2 linked regions of the Struthio camelus genome follow. The protein of the gene in region 1 binds, or shares a complex with, the protein of each later gene. Links are inferred from orthologs where the notes say so. Each region holds a gene or a part of one and is shown on either strand. Other genes may lie near its edges.

The links. The genes of interacting proteins can lie anywhere in the genome.
Region 2: the proteins of LATS1 (region 1) and WWC1 are in contact, whole or in part, in a crystal structure (PDB 6J68), measured with the Mus musculus proteins. The link is inferred for Struthio camelus from reciprocal best matches to the Homo sapiens genes LATS1 and WWC1. Residues at the interface, in NP_034820.1 of Mus musculus: Ala546, Glu547, Ala548, Pro549, Ser550, Tyr551, Gly553, Pro554, Pro555, Pro556, Pro557, Tyr558, Leu562, Leu563; in NP_740749.1 of Mus musculus: Asp17, Tyr23, Ile25, Asp26, His27, Arg30, Thr31, Thr32, Ser33, Trp34, Asp64, Val67, Tyr70, Ile72, Asp73, His74, Lys77, Thr78, Thr79, Gln80, Ile81.

What each region holds. Positions count from the first base shown.
Region 1 is NC_090944.1:82,015,141-82,022,752, reverse strand, and holds the start of LATS1 (serine/threonine-protein kinase LATS1), read right to left. Parts: upstream 3,012-7,612; 5' UTR 2,748-3,011; intron 1,141-2,747; exon of another isoform or gene 913-1,140; intron 1-912. Other genes in the region: nucleoporin Nup43, read right to left, coding at 4,815-5,029, 6,295-6,417. UniProt on the Homo sapiens protein: Negative regulator of YAP1 in the Hippo signaling pathway that plays a pivotal role in organ size control and tumor suppression by restricting proliferation and promoting apoptosis.
Region 2 is NC_090954.1:17,999,871-18,006,702, forward strand, and holds the start of WWC1 (protein KIBRA), read left to right. Parts: upstream 1-3,821; 5' UTR 3,822-3,882; coding exon 3,883-4,001; intron 4,002-6,832. UniProt on the Homo sapiens protein: Regulator of the Hippo signaling pathway, also known as the Salvador-Warts-Hippo (SWH) pathway.

The sequences.
Region 1 (7,612 bases):
TAAGGCTGAATAGCTTAGAGGCTTAGTGATTTAGATTACTTGTTCAAATTCAGTCAAAATTAGGACTAATCACTAGCTCACCACTGGCAGGTAATCTAGATAAAATAGTTAGTATCCATCCTGTGTCAGACAAGTATCAAATGAGAGTAGTAAAAAAAATGTCCATATGTAAGTTCTTTCTCTTAACACTTTCCACAGGACTTTAATCCAAGAGAAAACACTTGTTTTTCACCTATATGTTTTAACCATAATTTTATTTGGTGTTTCACCAAATTCACTTTACAATCACCCTGCAGGTAGCTGAGATAAACAAATATAACACCCACAGGAGAACTCCAGGTCAAATTAAGATGATACTTAATCTGTAAATCAGGAGACCTAGAGTCTACCACCAATTCAATCATATGGCCTAGGGGGGAAAAAAAAAAAAAATCACCTTGTACACTGACTTCTTTATGTAAAAAAAAAAAAAAAAAAAAGAGATAATTATATTTCTTTTTAAAATGCTTTGAGAATTTTAATACAAGGGATGTTTTAAGTATGTGGTAACTATTATTTGGTTGGCAACTGCAGCATACAGTATATGGACTGACCAGCCTTAGAAAATAAAGTCATCCTTTCACATAAGTTTTTAGCAGAAGCAGGGGTTTATACCAGTGTAAAACAGCCAGTCCACTTATTCCGTGCCAGCATTAAGTAGTTTGTAAGGCCACATAGAGTGAATCAAGCCAGGGAACCTATCCAGATAAAAAGTAATTTTTTTTCCTAGGGGTTTATTTCTTTCAGCAGCAGTATTGGCTAACAATTTCATGGGTCTGTGAAACTACAGTCTTAATTGCTCAGAAACCCAATTAAAACAGTCCTCCACTGTAATGAAGTACAAAGCGGCAAGTATTATTGACCATAGCTCACCTTGCTTTGGAGGACTTCAAAATTCAGGGACCGTGAAGTCATCTCCTCTTACAGACATTTACACACATTTTAAAACAATAAAGTTTTGACCAGATCAGTAAGTAACCTTTCTCAATCATGTATATCTAACTAGCAAACACTAACTGAACCTGAGGGAACGGCCGTGTATTCTCCCTTGCAGTTCTGTATGGTTAAATGCCCTTGATGCATCTGTTTGTTAATGCAAATACTTCCACTGGTGACATTCTCCATTTCCCTAAAGCAGTTAAATCATTTTTTCTTCCTTTTCAAAACATAAGGATAAACTATTTTCTTCTACAGGTCAAACTGTAAGGAGAAAAAAAACAGTCTGTTTAGAGTGTACCACAAAAGACTGGACAATAAAAAATAGGCGTTTGAATGAAAACACTTAACGGTTTCAGAAGGCGACAGTAACACGCAACTGCTCTGTCAATGCCTTTTAAGCATTTCTGGGAAGGAAAATATACAGCTTTTTAGTAGCTTTGTAACATTTAATATTAAAAAATTTTGAACATACATTTAAATACTACACAGTGCTCAATATTCAGCTGAAAGTAAAAACAATCTATTTTGATTTCCTCTCCCATATCCCTATTCTATTAACTTAGCTTACACAGGATCTCAATCAACTCTTTCTTTTTAGAAAAGATTTAAAACAAGAACTTGGGAGGCATCAGATTAACTTTGTAGGGGCTTGGCTTGAATCAAAGGAAGCAGTTCTTTGGGTAACAGGTGGTTGGGCTGAAAAGCTCTTTTGTCAAACGATGTTTTCAGCACTAAAAATTTACATAGGATGAGCAGAAAACCGGGCACGGAAAATTTGTAAATAATTATGACTACATACATTCAAGGAAGACTCTGAGTTGAAAGTGACTGGAGGCTAGCTGAACACAAGGAGCGCTGTACGCTTGCTTCTGCTGCTCCTTTCCATTCTCGTACTCTGCTATCTCCTTTTAATAGGATATAGCTCTTATGTACAAACGCATTCTCAGTTCTTATTATTGCTTATTTCTTGAGCACGTAAGAGTAATCTTCATTGCTACCGACAGGGCAGCCATTTAAAACCAAAGCGTAAGTAGCGTTGGCACAGACAGGTACTAAGGTAATTCTAATAGCACAGAAGGATCCAACATGTCAAGGACCACCCAGAGTAGAAGTACAACACTGGCGTGAGAATTTTCAGGATATAACAGTCATGAGTATCTCAAGTCTATCCACTGTGTTAATTGCATTTTTGTTGCACAGCAAGTACGAGACCACGACCCGAGGTAAAGCAGAGATGCACGTGCTACCGTATACGTCCATCTGGAAGAAACGTTTGAATCCGGTCTGCTGAAGTGCGGCTTTCCTCCGAACCTTCAGCGTTCCCCGGGGGAGATAAGGGGGAACTAACACCATCAAGCACCACCACTGCAGCGGCGAAACCCTCGTGAGGCGGCGGCACCGCGGCCCAACCGGCGGCCGCCGGCCCGCCGCCGCCACCACCACCACCCCAGCCGCAGCCGCGGGGCCCGGGCGGCGCGGACACCGCCTCGCCTCCGCGGAGGAGCCGCTCCTCGGTGACCGCGAAGCCGCTTTCAGACGCACAACCCCCGGCCCGGGCGGCGGGAGGCAACGCCGCCTACCTCCGGCCGCGTCCCGCTCGCTGCCGGCAGGGAGCAAGGGGCCCGGGCTCTGCCGCTCCGCCGCCGCCGCCGCCGCCGCCGCGGCAGGAGGGGCCCGGGAAGGGCCCGTTATGGCCCCCACGCCCTGGCCGAGCCGCTCTCGAGCCCCGCCAGCGCCCTCTCCTCGCCGCCGCGGCACGCCGGACCTACCTGCAGCGAAAAGGCAGCGGCGGCGGTAGCAGCAGCAGCGCCCCGGGCCCGGGCGTGTGCGTAGGGCGCTCGGCCACGCCCCTGCGACGACGGCAACGACCTCCGCGGCCCTCAACGCCGCCGGCAGCGGCTCCTCGGTCGCTCCGCCAGCGCCCCCCCCTCCCGCCACCGCCGCCACGGGTCCCTCAGTTCGGCGCCGCCATTTTGTCGGTGCCTCCGCCGCGGAAGGTTTCCCGGATATAGGCAGCTCCCAGCCTCCTTTGCGCCCCCCCCCCCCCCAACCCGGTATGGAATGCAGCGGCCGGCGCGGCCCAGCCGCGAGCGCCCCACGCGGGCAGGGCGGTGCGTCCCCCCCCCCCCCCCCCCGCCATGGTAAACGGCCGTTTGCCCCCTCCCCCGCCCGGCGCCACTACCTTGTAGCGGTAACGGGAGCTGCTCCACACGGAGCCCCCCGCAAGGGGGAAAGAGGTTTCAGGCATCGCTTTTTTTTTTTTTTTCCTCTCCTCCTTTTAATGGCACAAAAACCTCGTCAACCTGGAGCCTCGTCAAGCGCTAGGAGTCTAGTGAAGCTGAGCTCAAAACCCGGTTAATCACCACAGCTGAGCTCGCATGGTATTATCGACTGCAATAGATGCTCACCACGGCTGCGAGCATGCTGATCAATAAACTTCGGTTTTCCAAGGGGAAAGATCGCCGACACGACTGAATAAAAGACTTCTTACAGACCCCCATCTATAAGTTCCCCAAGAAGAATGATCACTTCCCTACTCAAGCAAAGTGTCCCATTTCAAACAAATAGGGAAATTTAAAAACTAAAATTTAAAACTAGTAAGCCTCCTAGCAACTCAAGTTCTTTTCTGAAGAATACCCCTTAACTAAGGTACAACCCACGTTCTTCAGCTAGACACACAGGAAATTCAAATCAGGCAAGTCATTGTGAGAAAAGATGAAGAACACTCTTCTCACCGCCTCGAGAGTGAAATACTCTAAAGCTGTTTCGCTGACGAGTGATTTTTAAAGCCTTATAACTCCATCTGCTGCTGCCCAGATCCTAAGATTTCCCTCAAAGTGCCAAATCCCATTCTCAAACCCAGTCCAGAGAGCTCTTAGGGTTATTTACCCTCCTGCAACAACAAACTAAAAAGCACATCTACTAAACTAATCTAGTAAGTCAGGCCAGTACTCTTGTGCAAAATACTTTATTAAAAAGAGAAAGGGTTCTCTGCAACAAAAGGTAGGTACAGCAGTCATCCTAAAATTAATTTTTCAAAGATTGCAAAACAAGACTAGATGGAAAACTGATAGCGTCAGTCATGGTCTTTGTCACAGATGGTCTTTGTCACAGATGTGTCTCCATCACATATTTTAAAACAGCCAACATGTCCATCACTTATGGCCACTGAGCTATAAAAACACTTTTCTGATGAGAGAGTTATAGGCACATTATCCAGATGGAGTTTTAACACGTTGTATCCGTGATGAAGTTGTAGTAATCCAAAATAATGCTACTAAAATGCTAAAAGTCTTATAGGACCTTTCATATTTTACAGCTTTTACAGGTTTCCTTTCCAGTTCTCATGCACCAGCGTAAAAAGCTATGCTTCCAAAAAATATATATATATAAAAATCTCAAATAAAAAGCAGTCTCTCTCAGCCGACATAAAAAGAACATCAAAGAACCTTATGATTTGGCCTTAACATGTGGAATGTCTCTACATATACATGAATAATCAGGGGTTTAGTTTTTCTTCACCTTGTGCATTATGGACATCAGCTAAGAACAAACATCTTGCACTTACAGCTAGCTTCCTGCTTGCCAAAATGAAGCAGGCAACGGGGAAGAAGTGAGATCAAGCTTACACAAAAGCTGGTTTAATTACCCATGGTAGAGCATGAATAATAAGGGGCAACTTTAAGAGTCTGAGGTAACTTGCATTCCTTTTGCAATAGCAGAACTAAGCTGTAGGCCTCTCTCCCACATGCTCATAACAGTTTAGTTGGAAACCCTCATGAACCTGATGCGTTTCCCAGTAGTTCAAGGTGATTCAGAGTGACACTGAAGTAGTTTCATGCAAAAAGGTGTCTGTTAACATAAATAGCCTCTGCATCAGTACCATACACTAGACATGGTCCTAAAATATCTAAACTGTTCACAGACAAAGTCTGATGTGGAATTAAGTTGGTAATCTCCATGCGGTCTTTGGTAGGATCGTTGCTTAGCCAGGCACTTACTACAGATTGGTTAACGGTATTGTGGGAAAAATATGTAGTACTTCTTCCTCCTGAAAGTGAGGGAAAGGGAAAAAAAATTAGTTCCAATTTAGTTTAGTCTCAGAATTTGGAGAAACATAGCAACTAAAGGAGAGACATAACGGGAAAAGCATTTTAAATTTAAATCAGTTTTCAGATTAGCTAAATGATGTACTAGTCTTCCTGGTAAACAACAACAAAATAGCTAAAAGCCAAGTACTTCAAATGTTTACAGAAGCCTGCTACCAGCTCTCTCCTCAGTTAAGAGGGCAAATAAGTCAGTACAACTAAGAACCCATCTCATTGAGCAAATAGTATGAGCAACTACAAGTTTTTCTAGCTGAAGACTAAAGCAATGGACCTATGAACCAAAGTCCACTTACGCAGTGGCCTTGCTATATTTGAGGCATCAGCTTTGCTGTAATAACATTTACTCCCCACTGTACCTTCTCTCTACCTAATCTGGAGAAAGTGATATACCTGGATTTGACTTCAAGCTTTTTCCACAAAAAAATTCAAATCCAAACTGAAGTTTTGCAGTTTGAGAACTATCAGCCAGTATAAAGCTTACAATGGTTTAAAATGGTGCACTTAAGGGGTTATGCAGTATACCTGAGAACATGCAGAGTGCGATTTGACTCTCAGTTATACTATTATTCCCCTGTACAGAACTCAACTTTGAATGGCAGCTTTGAGGCCAGAGGCAGAAGATATTTGAAAGTTCTCCACTTCCCCCACTTCAGAGTTTCCCCTCTGAAGTTGCAAGCAATTAAGCAGTCTGAGATTAGAAAGCAAAAAGGCATTTTTACATCAGTTTCATGTCTTTGAAATCCTACCATGACACAAAGGCATACAGTTTCACTCACTGACAATCTTCCACTTATGACTTGGAAAAACTGCCTAAAGATTAAATTCATAATTCCACTATCCCGTTAACTTATAAACTATATTGGTGTTACCGAATTTTATATATCTCCCTCTGAGATTCAGGTAGCAATGTGTCATTTAGGCCTCTTTCATGTCTGGTCCGCACGGATGTGATTTAAGTGAACTAAATTTATCCCTGAAATTCTTTATGCGCCCCTTCACACACTAGACAGAGCACAGTGAGGATAGATAAAAAACACTGCTTATCCCCGTAAGTACTTAGTTGTCCTAGAGTGCCTACCCGTGTCTAAGAAAAGAAGTTGGATTTTTGTTTTCTGTATTGAGTTAGTAATAGAGAATATAAGATCAAGTGCTTTACCTAAGTTGCCAGATGACAAATTCAATGCAAGCTGACTTCAAACATCCTTACCTTGATGAAGGAAAGATGGTTTTTCAGAAACGCTTGTGGACGTATCCCAGTGCCAAAGAGATCCGTCTTCAGAACATGTAAATAAGTGATCTGGGTTGGAGGGATGGAAGTGAACTTCCCACACTAGAAGTAACAAGAGAAGGAAAAAAAAACCCAAACACTAACAACAATAAAACACACATACTTATTGGCATGCAAACCATGCTCCTCGTGATTTCTACACTGCTGTGATACTAAAAGGGGTTTGATACCTCAATTACACAGGTTATTCAATCCAACAGCAAATATGTTTAGTTACTATAAAACTATGAGCCTACTTCAGGCTACTGAAACTACTGAAGTTTATTTATGACAGTATAAAGGTAACTTTTCAAGTATCAGCTAGGATGGCTTCTTTCAATGGGGACAGCTGTCAAGATACAAAGCCATCGTCTCACTTCCTGGTATTTCAAACACGCTCATTTATCCAGCTAAGTAGTGCAGTAGGTGCCTCACAAAGGCCACCAAGGTCCTGGTATTGCAAAGTACAGAATCTAAAACTGCAATTCATGCACATGTAAAAAGGAATCACACATATAACAGTAAAATAACGCTACTACAGGTATTTTAAAAACAAACAAACCACACTCTTGGCCATATGCAGAAAGAAGCTACATAGCCAATGCCTTCCAGTTACACTAAGGAAAAGGGAAGGAAGACAGACTAATCAGCTCCAGTGAGAGAAAAGAGCTTCTAATAAAGAAGAATACTGCTTTCTGTTGGAAGTTGAAACAGGTTTTCCTTACTTTTACGGATTAATGAATCTAGACCTCAGGCTCTGAAGAGGAAAAAAACCATTTCACAAACATCAAATACCCAGCTCTGCACTGTGGCTAGTAAGTACATTCTATATCATACAAGAATCCAGGCCTCACCAAAACCTTGCATTCTTAAGGGGTAGGGGGGAACTACCATCAGTTATTTGCTGCAATCTTCCCTCCCCTGAAAAAGCAGATCACTCATTTTGCTGTACTTTCAACACTGTGAGAGTTGTTAGAAGTTAAAAGCTTGTCTGAATTCAGACATTCTCAATAGCTTTCTCATGCTTTCTTCCCTACTATTAAGTTTAAAATTTGCACACATCAAGCATTCCTTCCCAGAACAGTCATTTTGTGTCTAAATACCACAATTGTCAAAACAGTTAAGTCAGTAAAAGTTCTTATCTCAAGAAACAATGTACTCCCTAAATATAACTCTAGTATTGAATCAATAAATTGCCAGAACAGAAAGAGTCGCTACCTTCTTGTTCATATAACGGTACCAGGAAAGTGAACTGTTT
Region 2 (6,832 bases), on another chromosome or scaffold:
CTAGAAGAATAAAGCAACCCTCCAGAAAACATTTGCTTCAAGTAGAAGAACGCCTGAGGTTTGAAGAAAGCAATTGTACTCTGGCAATTGAACTCAAACCCATTTTCCCTCCTCTTTCAGCTCAGGCACTTGAAGAAACCTGTTGGGGTTAGGAGACTGGTACTGTGTTCTAGCAGCTTTTGACACCCATCCTTTTGTTAATTATACTCGATTAAGAACAGAACTTTAAGTGTTAAGTACAAAAACGTAAACTTTTGAATGCATTAGAAATCAAGCAACAAGCAATCAGCTTCTCTGAAACACGTATCGCCAACAGAAAATGGCTGCTGTTGTTACTGAATAATTTGTGAAGCAGCCTGTTGCGGACTCTGCAAAACTGCATGCAGTGTCGGTGTGCAGCAAATGAGGTCATATGCTGAGACATTGAACCCAAGGCAAAAAAAAAAAGGTTTCTGCAGACTTTGTTCTCTGTTCTGTTCTTCCTTTTCACATAGGTAAGGGCTTACCTAGGGATCATACCTTCCCTTTGTTTGCTCATGAGAAAACAATCACCTGTTTGTTTATTGCTTTATAGTTCAAACAGACTCTGATACCACTGAATTCTTTTGTTGTGAGTGTGAGTGGTAAAAGGCAGTAAGTTACTGCACACACATTCCTGATTACATTCATAAGTTCATGTGGTTCCATGGAAAAATAAGATCTTTCAGCTTGAGTCAGTACAACCTGCAAATATTTTCCTGGGTATTTATTTCAAAAAAAAAAGAGTTTATCTTTTAAAAAAAAATCACACTATTAGTTTCTTTATAAACACAGACAATAACATCTGCTTATTTAAATATCCCTTCTCTATCATCTCATCTATATATTTTCTGAAAATTTGAAAAAAAAACCCACTCCAAAATGACACATGTCTTCTGGACGTATCTCTGGGCTTTAACAGAAGGCCACAATACAGGAACACGAAAATAGACATTAATTTGTGTTCAGCTTGTTATTCTTTTCCTCCTAGCTTTCTCTTGCAGTATTTTAAAACATTATTGTTGCTGGTTTTTTCCAGTTGTATCAGTTCCCCCTTTTACATTTCATGAGAAGTATCTTGCCTAGTGTTTTACAAAGAGAGAAACACCATTATCCAAGATTAAAAGGAGTGAACAGAAAATGATGAGCTGAAGCGACTAGCCCGGTGTCACCTAGAAATGTGTTGCAGGCTGCTGGCTCAAAACCCAGGAGTCCTGACAGTCCCATCTCTGGTTGCTGCAGTGCACTGTTCCCAGCAGTGAGTCTTCACTTCTAACAGCAATCACAAGCTTTATTTAGAGCTGTGGACGAACATAGTGTTTATTCCGTCATTCTTGTTTTAATATTACTTTACAAGCTGGGCATATGGTACCGCTTATAAAAGCATCACATTTAGCTGCCCCTCCAAATTTGGCTTCAGATAAAATGGGGTAAAATCCAGATATTCTCCAAATGCCTCACTTTCCATTTTGTCATTTTCTTCCCAGTTCAAGCACTTTATCAGCCCACTGCTGCTGCATTTGGTTGGCCTTCAGAGAACCAGTAGTTCAGATTCCTGGTGGGTTGTCAGAAAGCCTGAAAGATGTCGATCTTACCCTTGAAATCAGGCACAAAATGGGATACTATTGCTAATCGTCTTTCTTGCATTTATTTTTCCTCTCTAGCCCTTCAGGGCTCAGTACTTCCCCATGCAGCTCCCTGCATCCCGTCCTCCAGGCTCCGCTTCCACCCTTGTGCTTTGGCAAAGATCCGTGCTCTGTTCTGCTGTTTCAATAGAGGGAGCAGCAAAGTTCTTGCTTCCCCCTCACGCCTCACAGTAGAAAACTGGTGTAAGCTGCAAGGGACACTGAGGTAAGGGTGTTCTGCTCCTCAGCCTCCCTAAACCAGCTGGTCGGTGCTCCCCAGGGTAAATGTTATCTCATGCAAAAGCTCAGATTCATTACCACAAGGTGCAGTTTGCCCGTGTTAGCTCATGGCCTGATTACTTTGCACCATGTGGACTGTTACTCTGACATCTTCTCATGGACAACCTGCTCCAGCCTTCAGCATTACCCAAACCCTGGGACAGAGGACTGGGGAGGACACTGCCTCTTAAGTCCCTTCCTACCCACACCGTAGCTGTGCGTGAGTCAAGCCAGCCCAGGTACTGATTGCAACTGAGTCACAGCGACAGACACAGTGTAGACACTCTTAGCCATCTATGGGCTTATGTCTTACATTTGGGACTTTCTTGTTGTCACGTAATTTCTTTTTATAATCCTGCCTTACAGTGATTAGCTTATATACAGATCCAACAGCAAAGAGCTTTCACTCTTGAAAAATCACCTTGAGTGTAAACTGAAAAGTCATTAGCATCATATATATATATATATATGCGTATATATATATAGGTAATTTCAATGTCATTGTCTATTTACTGATTTTCGGCATAAACAATTGGACAATAAGAGCACTTGACTGTCAGCCCATCTCTGTTCTCCATGGGTACAGTCTCCGCCTAACCTGCAAGCGGCATTACCCTCTCACTGCGCTTGTACAACGGGGACCCAGAGGATGGCTCTTCCTGGGGCGAAAGGGAGACAAACCTGCTAGATATGGATGATATTAACCCCCCCCAACTCCCAAAGCCCTTCTCTTCATCATCAGCAGAGTTTTTAATGTCTATATTGTGCTCGAACGGCTGCTAGGGGGTTTGCTTTTTCAGTGAGTAGTCTTGTGAGCTGAAGGCTTTATGAAGACGTTTAGTCGTCTAGCTGTGCATCTAAATTCCTCTTTCTTACTGAAAGAGGATTGCATTTTTCTGTAGGATTGTCTCATTTGCCTGAAAAGGGCTACACTACACAGTCTGTGGATATTTATGTGCCTTGCCGTACGGAAGTTAGCATCTCCGACAGCGTCCTTTAAAACCAAGGGCTCGGACGGCTCGGGACGCAGCTCCCGAGATTCAGATTACTTTTCTGTGTTTTCAGCGATTCTTATCACGTGTTTCCCTTACTTTTCCTCGCCCTGCTTTCCCGGCTGGATGAGGTAACCGACTGCGGAACTGGGGGCGAGGCGGCTCCTCACGACAGCTCTCCCGCCCTGCCCCGGCAGCGGGCGGTCACTCGGCTCGCGAGGCGCCGCCGAGCGCTGACCGAAGCCTGCCGCCGTGCCCGCCGCAGCGGCCAGGCGGGGAAGCGTGGGCACAAACGTCCCCCAGCGTGCTGGGGCCGCTCTGAAACACGCCTTGCAGTCGCGGCCGGTCCTCCCATCGACTCGCTGCCTCCCCGCCCTGCCGCGGCCGTTAGCCGTCAGCCGTCAGCCGTTAACGGCTAACGCCCCCTGCGGCGCGGCCGCGCGGCGCCCCGCCCCCGCGGGCAGGTGCAGCGCAGCGCCCATCCCCCGCCCGGCGGCGGCGGGGGGGGGGGGAGGGAGGCGCTCGCGCGCCTACAGCAGCGGCGGCCGGCGAATGGCGGGGGCGGCGCTATTACCTGCATTACAGTAGCACCTGGGCGCGGGCGGCGCCTTTAAGGGCCGGCCATCCCCCTTCCCCCCCTCCGCCGGTGCCGGGCCGGGCTGGGCAGGAGGGAGGGAGAGGGGCGGCGCGCGGGGGCCGCCGTGCGCGGAGCGGAGCGCAGCAGGAAATGGAGGCGTGAGGGGGCCCCGCCGCGCCGCGCCCGCCCCGCCCCGCCCGCCCGGGGGGCGGCATGTGAGCCTGCCCGGCGGCGGCGGCGGAGGGCGCCTCCCTGCCGGCGGCTGCGCCGCGCCGCTGCCTCGCTGCCCGCGGCCGGGAGGAGGCGGGAGGCTCGGCCCTGCCCCGGAGCCGGCCCCGCCGCCGCCGCCGACCGGGCGCTGCATGGGGCGGCGCGGCCCGCGCCGGGGACGATGCCGCGGAAGGAGCTGCCGCTGCCGGCGGGCTGGGAGGCGGCGCGGGACTACGACGGGAAGGTGTACTACATCGACCACGGCAGCCGCACCACCAGCTGGGTCGACCCCCGCGACAGGTGGGCGGCGGAGCGGGAGCGGGGCCGGGGCCGGGCGGGCCTGGGGCCCTTCGCGGCTGGGCGCGTGGCGCCTCCGCCGCCCCTGGGGCGCCGGGCAGGTGCCGGCCGGGCGGGGGGGGCGGGCGCCGCCTGCCCTCGGCCCCTCTCCGGCGGCAGCTCTGCCGCCTCGGGGAGCGGGGGGCGTCTGGGCTGCTCCCCTCCACCGCCTGTTTCCTGCCCGGGCCGGGGGGGGGGGGGTCTCCTCTTGCGGCTCCTTTTCCTAATCTGCCCTTTTCCTTTAGTGCTCGCCTAAGAAGACCTGAAACAAACAAAAAAAATCTCCTGCGGAAAGCGTCAGTTATTTTCAAGGCACGCTTTGCCTTAGCGAGTTCTGGTTTGCGCGTGAGGCGGTTGTGGCCGGCGCGCAGGTCGCTCGGGCGTGCAGGTCGCTCAAATGCTAGATTACTGGTGAAGTAACGAGTTTCGAAATTTCACGTTTCGTGCGCTGATAGCTGAGGTTTCAGGATACTCTGCCTCATGAGAAAGCTCCATCTCAATGCGATTAAAATTCCAAAAAAAACCCGAATATACAGTTTGTTGTAAAGTTCAGAGTCATCCTCTGTTTGACAGAGAGTCTTTTCCTTCTTGTTTAGCAATTCCTGGATTTGTTTTGTCCCTCCACCCCGAATGGTTGTTTCGAGGGGTTTCCCTGGTTAGTGGGATGCCAGTGCTATTGATTACTTCCATGCTTAACAAAAAAACACTGAAACAGAGCTGGAAGTAAGAGATTGTCCGTTTTTTCAAGATTTCAAGGAGTGTTCCGCACCCCAGGAATAGTCTGTGTGTACTGTACACAACTGTAATCTGTTGGCCTACAGGAGATTCAGAACTCAACATTTTAAGGTTTCTCTCTCAGTAATGTGGCTGAGAAGAAGCTAAAAAGCTTGACATAAACACAGTGTTAAAAAAATCTCAAGTCAACACAAGCTTTCATTAGGAAGGTTCTCTTAACATCTTTATCTTGTTAAATAGAGTGAAGACAGTTGAAAAATCTATTAGGGCTAATAAAGGCTTATAAAATTCTGATTTGTCCTTGATTAGTAATCCAAAGATTGTATGGACAACTGAACGGATGTCTTATGCATGTGCACTGACTATCACAAAAACATTGAATGCTTGCCACTGTTAAAGGAGAACGTTCAGACATATACTGATAAGTCATGTCACATGACATATTCATGGTACACTTACAAATACACCCGAATGCACATGGCCCTGAGGAGCTTTGGGTCTGAGTCATCTTCCACTGATGCTACCAAGAAAACCATCTGAGTTAACGCCTTGCTCCCTTCTCTAAAAATCCTCAAGGTTTTGAGGTGTATCAGCCCATCCCTAGAACCACTAAAACATCAAGGAGTTTTCCCAGGACCTGGGAGACCCTTGTGCTTGTACAGGTTCAAATCCTGCTCTGCCGTACTTGCAGAAAAAATATATTCTCTTTAAAGTAATTAGCCCTGTCCATGAAAACCAGCAGACAGAGGAATTTCTGAGCAGCTCAAGTCATGCTCAGGGCAGTAGTGATTCAGATTTATGCACTGATCACTGGAGTTTTACACTATATTTTCAGTTTAATTTTTTTCTAAGCTTAGCCTTTTGCAAGTTGCTTCTAAGACTGTTGCAACTGAGAGGTTGATTTGTGCAATTGCTGCGGTGCTCGGCATGCTTTACTTATATATGCCGTCTCCTACCCAGTTAAATGCAATTGATGTTAGAGATGTGGTTGTAAAAAGGCAAATTTCAGGAGAGGGGGAGGAGGAGGTTTTGTTTTAAAGCTCCTTAACCCAGTTGCTGCAGAATGGCAAGATTTCAGTGTGACTGTACCTGTATGCTGTCTGCTCAGTGTAGACAGTGAGCAGCAACCGGTAACTGAAGGTGGGAGGCAGGTTTTAAAGCTTCCCTAAGTCTTTCATTCTAGCTTAATTTAGTGGAAATAAACATGATCAGGGATACAGTCTAGCTTCAGGGCATAGGTTAGCCCATTGTTTTTGTGGCAACAGTTGGTGTTAGGTTTGTAGCTGGATAGGCATTGTGTTAATGGAGGCTTGCTTAATGAAAATACTGCAGAAGTGGGCCTGGATACGGACATGTAAGGAGTATCAGCTAGCAGGTGACTGCGTTGGAGAAATCATGGGTAGCGTGGGTGGTACCGTAACAGAGACCTTTCTTCACATACGAATTTCAAAGGTCTAGAGGCTTCTCTAGCTACTAAATTGCTGAGAAGTGGGAAACCTCTTCACCCCCTGTGAAGGGCCAGGCAGAAATTCCAAATGCGTTTTTGTTGCGTATCTGCATGCATGTTATCTGTGCTTGCTTGTCCTGAGGTCCCTCACATTGAGGTCCCTCACACCTTGTGCCTGTAACTAGCATATCTCACTAGCTTACCTGCCGTTTGATTTAACGCTCCAGTCTTTGGTGCCACACAGTGCTACTCTGTCCAGGACTCTGTATTGGACAGTGTATCCAGTGTACCTGGGAACCTCCTCCCTATCTTCCCGGTGCTTCTCCAGACCTGGCTTCTCAGGGGCCGGGATCTCCCTCTCTCCCTCTCACCCCTTCTGTCATTTTCTTCATCCTGCTCCATGCAGGCTCTAGGACCTCTTCTCTGCTTTGGGGTGGGGGCTAGGTAGTCTACCGGATGGTAGGCTGATGGATGTACCAGATGAGCTGGAAAGGGCTGTTCTGGGTGTGTGTAGGGCTGTGCTGCTGCTACTGAAGGCAGCAGAGTGAGTTGGAAATGTGGCTGTGGACAGGCGTTTGGGGTGAGGCTGGGGGAGGAAGGTGGTTTTGATAGG